Cricetulus griseus: one gene and its partners. The protein of the gene in region 3 interacts with the protein of the main gene of each other region in a pairwise test. Links are inferred from orthologs where the notes say so. Each region holds a gene or a part of one and is shown on either strand. Other genes may lie near its edges.

Region 1 (3,753 bases), on a different chromosome or scaffold from region 3:
AACAGAAAACACACCCTTCCCAACCATTTCATACAGTTAATTTGAACTCAGCACTAATCCTTCTCAGCTGTGCAAGGCTCCCATGCTTTCTAGAACAAAAGTATCTTATCTTGATCTCATACTCAATTTAACAATCATTTTCCAAATTGGGCGTGGTTGTGGATGCTTTTAATCCCCTAGTCAACAGAAGCTGAACCATCCCAGTGAGTGTAGGCCAGCCCAGTCTACATCTACACAATGAGTTCCAGGAAAGCCAGGGCTACACAGAGAAACCCGGTCGCAAAAAAAAAAAAAAAAAAAAAGTGTGTGTGTGTGTCCTACAGAACCTGATAGGAATTTGAGACTTTTGCCACAGAAAACAAATGTTATCAAGATATTCTTCCAGTCAGAAGAAAAAGTACCAAGAGTTAGCAAGGAAAGTGATAGTGTCAGAGATCAGCTGGGAGCTTTCTTCAGCTATACAAAGAATAGATGGACATCAGTGAAGATTACACAGGAATACAGAAACATCAAGTTAAGGGCTGGAGAGATGGCTCCACAGTAAGAGCACTGGCTGCTCTTCCAGAAGACCCTGATTCAATTCCCAGCACCCACATGACAGCTCACAACTGTCTGTAACTGCAGTTCCAGGGGATCTGACACCCTCACACAGACATACATGCAAGCAATACACCATTGTACATAAAATTAAATATATATATCAAGATGAACAGCCCAAGATTTAATTGAGAGGATACGCTGAGACTAATAGATATGTACACCCATATGCACTGAATAAAGGGTAAAGAACTTAATCAGAAAAGGCAGGCAAAACTGGCATGGCATTTATAGTGAGTAAAATCCAACTTATCAGTCAAGTGGGGGCAGAAACCATCTACAAGGGCAAGCACAAGTCCTTCTTCAGCTACAAAAGATACAATTTCATAGTAGTCAGAGAAAGTAGTTTCCAAGGGCATGAGAAAGCAGAAAGGTCTCCTGGGGAAGGGGAATGGACCTGAGAACTCAAGTGAGGCAGCTCCTCTAACTTACCTGATGCTATGAAAATCCCTCTTCAGAGTAAAGAGTAAGGGGTGGATCAAAAGTTTCTAGGACAATTCCACACATAAAAGTCAACAGTTGGGCGGTGCTGGGGGCAGAGGCTATGAGCTTGAGGCCAGCCTGGTCTACAGAGCACAGGACAGCCAAGGTTACACAGAGAAACCCTGTCTTGGGGTACAAAAAACAAAAACAAAAAACCTCAAAAGAGGTTCAGAATTCCACCTACCAGATAAAGGAAAACAGTTGTGGAGCAAGAAGAGTCACTCTTAATCTAAACTGGAGGGGAGGGGGAGCCCAGATGCAGAGAGTCGGATGGATGTATGAATAGAAAGAAGGAAAAAACAAAAGGCCGGTCTGGTCTGATAGATCGAGGCTGTAATATAGTCACAGAATTTGAAAGGCTGAGGTAGGAGTTTAGCCTGGGCTAGGACATGTTACAACCCCACCCCCCAAAACACTTCAAAGGAATCAAATCTTGGGCAAAGAAATGCTGAAATTAGCAATTCTGAAAGATACTTTCTCTTTCCAGAAAAGACTGTCAACAAGTAGAAATCTGTTAGAATAAGGACAGAAAAGAAGCTTGCTGAGACACCCTTTTAAGGAAGCCTAAACTTAAGAAAACACAGGAATGACCTAAATGTAGCTGTAGTCTAAGAGAGAAACACGAATCCATCTCTGGGTAGCTGGTTTCGGGATAAAGGTGTGGTGGGGTGACAGACTTGTCCAACAAGACCACTTTTATGGCTGATAAAGCCTGAGGCCAAAGATGCTAAATAACACACGTGGGTTTTGATCATTTCTTCTTAGATGGAGACCTACAATATAAGATGAAAGTTGAGTAAATGGTTTAGAGCCAGTAGGCAGAAACCTCCCTGAAGACCGAAGACCTAATATGGGACAGTGGGCCTTCCCAAGAGGGTTATGTAGGAAAAGAAAGACTCTCCCATGTGCTTGTGCCGTGGAAAGGATGTGATTAGGAGCTGAAGTAGCTCCTCCACTAAGAAACAAGAAAAGTCAATTAGAAGCTGAGTAAAGGGGTTTCTCCGGAGGGACCAGGAGCGCCCATCCACGCGCAGTAATGACCTGATGTTCATGCTTTCAGCTGAGGATGAAAGCAGGTGTAACAGCGGGCTCAAAAAGAAAAAAGCACGAGGGTTAACTCCCACGGTCTCCCCGAGAGGGTGTCGAGTGGGAGCGTGGGTCGAGGTTCTAAGGGTCAGGACCGAGCTCCAGAAACTCGAGCCCGCTCCACTCTTCCCTGCTCCGGCTGGGGGAGGGGGCTAAGGAGGGTGTCCCGGGTCGACGCACCGTCTCACCTTGTAGAAGGCCCCGTTGGAGCCCCGCACCTCGACGGGCAGTCCCGGCTCCACATCCCCCCCAGAGGCCAGGCCGCCCATGGCGCCGCCACCACCTCCGACTGCCGCGGCAGCAGCGGAGGCAGAGCTCTGAGTGCGGGCCGGGCCGGGCCCCCGGCGTCTCCCAGGAGGAGGAGCTGGAGGGGGAGCCGCGGGGGGCGGGAGTCGGGCCGGCCCCACGGCGGCCCTGCTACAGCCGACGAGCAGGGGGCCGGGGCCGGGCCGCTCCCCGTCCGCCACTGCCTTGGTCTCCGCCACCGTGAGAGAAACGGCCGCCGCCGTCGCCTTCGTCACCTCAGCTTCCGCCCGCCGGCGCCCCCCGCTGCTGCCTCAGTCCGGGACCCGCTGCTGCCGCTGCCGCTCCACGGCCTCCACCTCCCCTGCCGCCGCCGCCGCCGCCTACTGCGCAGGCGCACAGGGCACCCGCCCGCCGCGCGCGGAGCCCGAGGGCCAAGGCGCAGGCGTCCAGGCTAGCGACCCAGCTCCGGCTCGCCAGCGCGTCAGGGCTTCCACATTCTCTTCTACTCTCTCACGCCCCCTCCTGGTCGCTCCTCTGCGCTTGCGCAGAACCAGATGAACGCTCTATCTCCAGCTCCCCAGCCTTCCACTATCCCTGTCCCTTCCTTTCCCCGCCCCACAACACTGTGAGCAAACCAATCACGAGAAGGGAGGGGCCGCGCCCGCTCCGTCGGATTGGACTTCCGCCTCCACCAAGTGAGCCCCACAGAGCCGGAGCAATTTAGGGATGGGCATGCGCCGGAATGACTGCTTGGTCACTTTCACCACCTTTGTCTTTCTTGGTGCGCACACTCCAAAGTGCGGGCAGGGGTGGGGGGGAGCCCGAAGGCAAAAAGTGTCCGGTGCGCACGCGCCCCGGGTTTTGGTGTCCATGCGCATGTGTTGACTCTCTGCATCTGTAGGAGATTCAAGAGTCACGGTTCTTGGCTGGAGTGGATTTTCTTAAGTTTGGTGAGACTGGGTCTCCTGTATCCTAGGCTGACCACGAACTCACTAAGCAGTTGGGGAGTGACCTTGAATTCCTGATACCTCCCAAGTGCAAAAATTACAGAAATGCCTGTCATTGCCCTGCTTGCCTTAAGTTGATTCTAGTAAATTCAAGCCCATATCGAAAAGAAAATGCAACATGATTTGATACATAAATGCTAAGGAAATTCAAGACAGGAAAAATTCTCAAACAAAACAAAACAAAATCGGTCCTTGAAGATGCTCAACTATAAAGCCTAACGACTGGGGTCAATTCCTGGAGCTACCCCCACCTCCAGCAAGTTGTCTTCTGACCATCACATGTGTGACATCACTCATGTTCACCCTCAGGACTTCTCTGTGTAGCCTTGGCTGT
Region 2 (3,753 bases), on a different chromosome or scaffold from region 3:
CATAAAATATAACAGTCTAGAATCTGAACTGACTGGAGCAGTGGGTAGCATGAAGGCATGCACAGCGCCTGGTGTACCCTGTGCTTAGCATCAAGGAGCAGCAAGCTCTGTGGCACAGAAGAAACACCTTGGATCCATCACATTTTGACTCTGAGTTATCGTCATGCATGTTCAGAAACCTTTCACTGGGCCAGTGAGACGGCTCAGAGGGAAAATGCTTGCTGGGCCTGAATTCCATCTCCTCTTGCCACCACGGCAGGACCCATCCTTGTAGGCTGTACTTTGACTTTCACACATAAACCACTGCATGGCATTCACACATGCATGCACGCACCCAGGCTCACTTGCACCCTTCCAGACACAGTATTTTTAAAAGTGTTTTGTGATCTCCACATACGTGAAATTAAGACTCACAGTTTAGCGGGGTAGTGGTGGGCATAAGTCATGAGAATCAATGTTAGCAATAGACTTGTGCCACTCTGAAGCTAAGCTTAGGGAAACCCTGACAGTCCTGAGGTTGTCTCACTGAGGAAGATGACCAGCTGATAGATCAGGACTGTGATAGTTGCCACTGATTGCAATGCCTAAAGAGACAAGTCCCTGGCCATGTCAGTGAGGGATTTTGTAGATTAAGTCAACTGAGGTGGGAAGACCCATCATGAACATGGTAGTATCATTCCTTAGACTGGAGTCAACACTGAATAAAAAGGAAAAAGTGAGCTGAGCACCAACCGTCATTGCTCTCTAGGTGTGATGTGATCAACTCTCTCAAGCTCCTATCAACGACTCCCTCTTCATCTTGGATAAACCCTTCCTTTATTAAGATGTCTTGTCAGGTACAGCCAACACAGCATCACACAACACCACAGCCCCGCCTTGCTCAGCCTTTCTTACAACACCCAGGACCACTAATCCAGAGGTAGGACCACTAATCCAGAGGCGGCACCACCCACAGGGAGCTTGGCCGTCCCACATCAATCAAGAAAATGAGCCGGGGGTTTGTTGGTGGCACACGCCTTTAATCCCAGCACTCGGGAGGCAGAGGCAGGAGGATCTCTGTGAGTTCGAGACCAGCCTGGTCTACAAGAGCTAGTTCCAGGACAGCCTCCAAAGCCACAGAGAAACCTTGCCTTGAAAAAAAAAAAAAAAAAAAAAAAAAGAAAAGAAAAATGAACCACAGGCTAGTATGATAGGAGCATTTTCTCAATTGAGGTTCCCTCTTCCCAAATGACTCTGACTTGTGTCAAGTAAACACAAAACACACAGACACTAACTGCAATTTTTCTGGTAACTACTTAACATAAGCCACCTGGGCCCTGGGTACTTGGCTCAACCCTTATATCGAATTCGAAACGAACTCTTCATAAAGGCATCAGGTACCCGCCCTAATGAGAAGCAACAAGGTATTAGATGAAATGCTTATCACATAACCAAACTACATCTGTTTCTTAATTTACAAAAACCAACTGAAACTTGTATAAGCTGAGGCTCTTCTATCCAAAATGCTTGGTCTGGGGAGTGTCTTGAATGTTTTGTACTTTAGAGTATTTTCATGTACATGTTTTGGGGATGGCACAAAAGTGTAAACACAGAACTCATCACTTCATATACGCTTATATACATATCCTGAAAAAAAATTGTACAATATCTCCGAGATAACTTTGTATTTCAATATAACAAAATTTCATGCTGTGAAATTTCCACTCGTCGCACCATGCCGGCAACTCAAAAAGTTTGGGATTCTGAAGCATTTCGAAATTTGGATTTTTACATTCGGGATGCTCACAAGCTGCACTTCCCAAGCATGCAAATCCACAGGACTAAACCCCAGTAACCGAGTTTCGACGTTGCTATTCAACCCAACTACTATTTTTTACTTCAAAATAGCAGTCACAGGGCAGCTTTCTGGTTCTCCATTTCGCCTAACAAGCCAGCCACTACTGCCGTCTTTCTGCTCCTAAAGGGGTCTCGCTTTAGCCTCTCTCGGCGGTCTGGGTTTCCGCTCCGGATGAGGAATGCGACCAGCCGGGGTTCCCGCAATCCCGCCTCGCTCGCCCTCTGCAAGCCGCCGCTGCAGCTGCTCTCGCCGCTCCAGCCCCCCGCGGCCTTCGGGCCCCTGCGTGTTATCGCCGCTGTACACAGCCCGCCGCGGCTCGGCGCGACCCCGCACCTCCCTCCGAGCCCCCGGCAGCGCCCAGGGCCCCGCGACGTCGCGCACTTACCTGCAGGTGACCTGCTTGGTGCTCATGGCGGCGCGGCGGCGGCGGCGGGGCTACGGGCTGGAGTCGCGCTGAAATCTTACAGCTGCCAGCGCCACGGCCCAGCCCGGCCCCGCCCCGCCCCGCCCCGCCCCGCGCAAGCAGTCGCGTCACTCTCGCGCGCACCACCCCCGCGCGTGCGTCACCTATAGGGTGCCGGTCGGAAACTTAACCGCCGTCATAATTGGTTCCGCCGGGGCGTGTTGCCGGAAGGTCCTTACGCCCTAGCGCTCCGGGTCTCACGTTTCCAAGACTACGGGGCGGAGCTTGTCTGGCATCCTAGGCTTGTCAATCGTCTGCAGGGCCGTTACTTCCTAGAGGTTGGCTCCATCTCCCCAAGACAGTCTTTTTCAAAAGTAATTTTACTTTGTTTGTTTGTTTGTTTTCGTTTTCTCGAGACAGGGTTTCTCTGTGTAGCCTATCCTGGCACTCGCTCTGGAGACCAGGTTGGCCTCGAACTCACAGAGATCCGCCTGCCTCTGCCTCCCGAGTGCTGGGATTAAAGGCGTGCGCCACCAACGCCCAGCTACTTTTTTTTTTTTTAATTTTATGATACGGGTATTTTTGCCTGCATGTGTGGTTGTGCATTCTGTGCGTGCAGTGCCTGCGCAGGCCAGAAGAGGGAGTGAGATCTTCTGGAACTGGAGTTACAGACAGCTGTTTGCTGCCACGTGGACGCCAGGAATTGAACTCCATCCCCTGCAAAAGCAGCCAGTGCTCCTAACCACTAGAGCATCCTCTAATAAGAATGTTTTTATTTCTTTGATAATTTCAGATATGTGTACAACGTATCTTGATCATATCCAACCTAAATAGCTCCTCTCACCCTCTGGTCTTTTTATGTAAATACACAGGCATACATAACTGGAAACAGAAACTGAAGCAGTATGCACACACACACAAACACTCTCTCTCTGTGTTCTCTCTCTCTCTCTCTCTCTCTCTCTCTCTCTCTCTCTCTCTCTCTCTCTCTCTCTCTCTCCCACACACACACACACACAATTTTGATCCTTGCAAACTATAGTTGTATTTTCAGCTTTGTAAAACTGTCTCCCAGTTTTCTGCATTGAATTGGCATTGTATAGAAATTAACAGCATGTTGGTCAAGAAACATTGTGCTTATTTGTTCCATTTGTATAGAGGTAATGCAATGTATTAAACATGTAAGGTCTGCTGAGTGCTCAGCTCTAAGTAGGACATCTATGTCAACACCCAAGAAAGGGTAGCAAGAACGTAAAAGCTGGAGGATGGGAGGAGGGCTAGGACATGCAGTCTTCTGGACATGTTAACTCACAGCAGCTGTGGCCACCTGCACTAGACTGGGCCTATGGCCAGATGTGGTGGTCCATGCCTTTCATTCTAATTCTTTAGTCAGGAGGCAGAGATAGTTAGATCTCTATGAGTTTGAGGTCAGCCTGGTGTACACAGACTACTCAAGACTATATAGTGGGACTTGGTGTGGGGCAAGGCGGGGGGGGGGGGCTCGTCAGCATTC
Region 3 (2,541 bases):
GAACACCATGTTTGTGCATGCTGTGCATGGGCAGATCTTCCTCATTCCCTCCCATCCCAACCCCCCTTCCCACAAAATAAATACCCCCCCAAAGAAATTATTCCACAAGGATCTTTAATGCTCACTTCAAAGTTTATTTATGGTGGGGTTGTATACATGTTTGGTAGGGTGTGCTAAGTGCCTACACTGAGAACATTCCAGTTCAAATCAGTCCATTCCACAGGGATGCTTCCTGTGCCAGTTGAGTTCATATAAGAGGGCCCTTGACCTTTCTCTGGTCAGGCCTGCTTTGCTCACCTCCTAACTCTCCTGGGCTTTTATGTTGATACAGATCATCACTTTCATACAAAGAATAGATACACAACATCTCAATGGATTTCACAGGTTCAGCACAGCACATCTCTTGTACAAAAAAGCACAGAAGTGAAAGCATCCACTTGCTTACTTGTAAACGCACATGCATAAATCCTTAACACGCTCCAAGCGAACACAAATGAATATATTGCATTGAAAGGTACAAAAGCACTGTAAGGAAAACTTAAAGGTTACACATGAAATACTGCACTGTGAATGTGGAATACTCTAATGACCCAACCCCACCCTTATACAGCCCAAGTATGGGTCAGAAATTATCAACATGCTGGGGACCTTCCTAATCACCAGAGACACTGCTGCGGGGGCAGTGGGCAGCAAGATTAGCCTCCCGCAGAGCTCTGGCCTGCTCCAGAGCCTCTCGGTAGCGGGAGGGCCAAGCCTGGGGATCTTTCTTAAAGACCCTGGCCAGGAACTCCATAATCTGCATCTTGGTGATTTCACGGTTGGCTCTGGACCCCCAGAAGAACTCGTACTCAGGAGGATCGCTGTGGGGAACAAGCTGGTACTTCAGGTAATTCTGCTGGACGAACTCCTCGGTGATAATCTTCCTCACGTCTCCGAAGGTGGAGTGCTTCTTCCAGGGCCTCAGTCCCAGGATGTGCAGCACATTCCAGACGGCTCCCTCTCTGGCCCCGCGGCCCTTCACGTAGATGAGGCTCAGGATCATGAGCAGGAGGCCTGTCATGGGCATACGGTTGTTCAGCGCCACTCTGTCCAGTTCTGCTGGGCTGAGGGCTTTGACCAGGGCGAACTCCATCGTGTGGATATTGGTCAGCCTCAGGTGCAGCCCAAAAACTCTGGCAAGGATGAGGCTGGTGCGCCGGAGGATGCTTCTGCACCATTTCTTGTAGCTGCCCATGACATCTTTCACCATGTCTGGGAACCAGAGGACCATCCTCTTCTGGTCCTTGACCAACACGTACCACATGAGCTCGTGCGCCTTCTGCACCACCTGGGCCGGGGCGGGTGGTGTTGGCAGCTGACGGACCGGGCTATCGGGATTGTGGGCGCGGCCCTCCTCTATGGCCTGCTCCAGAATCTTAGGGTCAATATCTTCTAACCTTTCTGGAGGCGGCGGCGAGGCCTGCCGGGCTGCCATAGGGCCTTCAGGAGCTTCTGGTGCCTCTGCGACGATCGCGGCTGGAGATGTGGGAGGAGGGACCCCCACCGGAATCTCAGAGCTCTCCTGCACCTCGGAGTTGGCGGCATCAGGTGCAAAGTTAGGGTCGCTCAAGTCCTTACTTTGTTCCGACATGTCTGCGCCTTCTGATCAGAGCAGGACCGCTGCGACTTGGAGCTCTTGGAACCAGCACTCCCTCAGTGGACACCAGCAGAGGAAGTGCGCTTTACTGAGAGCTGTGCCTTCCGCAGCAGCGGCCGGGCGGGGCGGACTTGACACTGCGCATGCGTGTTGGCAAGCCAGAAGGGTGGTAGGGCTGGATAGGAGCTGAGATGCAAAGCCCAACCACTGGGGTCTGAGGGAGGGTACCACTAAACTAATGGGAAAGATCTCCAGGTCTCCTGGGTGAGCTAGAAAGAGATGGTGATGGGGAAGGAGCAAGTTTAAGTAGAAAGATGCAGCTGAGATGGTGAAGTCAAGTTAGAGCACCTTTGAGTTTTTGTGTGAAAGGGGGTAGACTGGCTAGAGAGCTTGGACTTTCTACAAAAGAGTGAGACAGTAATGAGTTTTTGATTTTTTTTTTTTTTTTTGGAAGTGCGAGCATTGTGAAGATAATGTGATGTTTAAGATTGGAATGTTGAAAAATTAATAGAGCAAATCTTTACCAAACCTGAGTCCAGATCCAATACGGAAGAATATAAAGTGTCATTACAGACACTGGAAATCAGCCCAAGTGGAATTTGAATGTTTTGGAAGTAATAAAATTATATAGCATAATTGGTGTGTGTTTAAACATTTTTTTATTGGGATGGGAATTGGCTCAGTCCATGGGTAAGAGCATTTGTAGTGCAAGTGTGAGAACCCTAGTTCAAATCCCTAAGACTCACAAAAAATGTAATGGCATAGTCTGTGTTTGTAAACCCTGCTCTGAGAGGTACAATTAGGAGAATTACAGGCATTTGCCAGAAACCAGCCCAAGTTTAGGTTCAGTGAGAGATCCTGTCTCAAAGGAATAGGGTAGAGAACAATAGAGCAGGATACACAAC

Evidence for each region.
Region 1: the proteins of Ndn (region 3) and Fxr2 interact in a two-hybrid assay, tested with the Homo sapiens proteins (2 studies listed by BioGRID and IntAct). The link is inferred for Cricetulus griseus from reciprocal best matches to the Homo sapiens genes NDN and FXR2.
Region 2: the proteins of Ndn (region 3) and Mkrn2 interact in a two-hybrid assay, tested with the Homo sapiens proteins (2 studies listed by BioGRID and IntAct). The link is inferred for Cricetulus griseus from reciprocal best matches to the Homo sapiens genes NDN and MKRN2.

Annotation. Positions count from the first base shown.
Region 1 is NC_048600.1:83,475,713-83,479,465, reverse strand, and holds the start of Fxr2 (fragile X mental retardation syndrome-related protein 2), read right to left. Parts: upstream 2,792-3,753; 5' UTR 2,436-2,791; coding exon 2,355-2,435; intron 1-2,354. UniProt on the Homo sapiens protein: mRNA-binding protein that acts as a regulator of mRNAs translation and/or stability, and which is required for adult hippocampal neurogenesis. Specifically binds to AU-rich elements (AREs) in the 3'-UTR of target mRNAs.
Region 2 is NC_048601.1:29,241,980-29,245,732, forward strand, and holds the start of Mkrn2 (probable E3 ubiquitin-protein ligase makorin-2), read right to left. Parts: upstream 2,361-3,753; 5' UTR 2,249-2,360; coding exon 2,223-2,248; intron 1-2,222. UniProt on the Homo sapiens protein: E3 ubiquitin ligase catalyzing the covalent attachment of ubiquitin moieties onto substrate proteins.
Region 3 is NC_048596.1:135,134,237-135,136,777, forward strand, and holds Ndn (necdin), read right to left. Parts: upstream 1,631-2,541; coding exon 653-1,630; downstream 1-652. UniProt on the Homo sapiens protein: Growth suppressor that facilitates the entry of the cell into cell cycle arrest.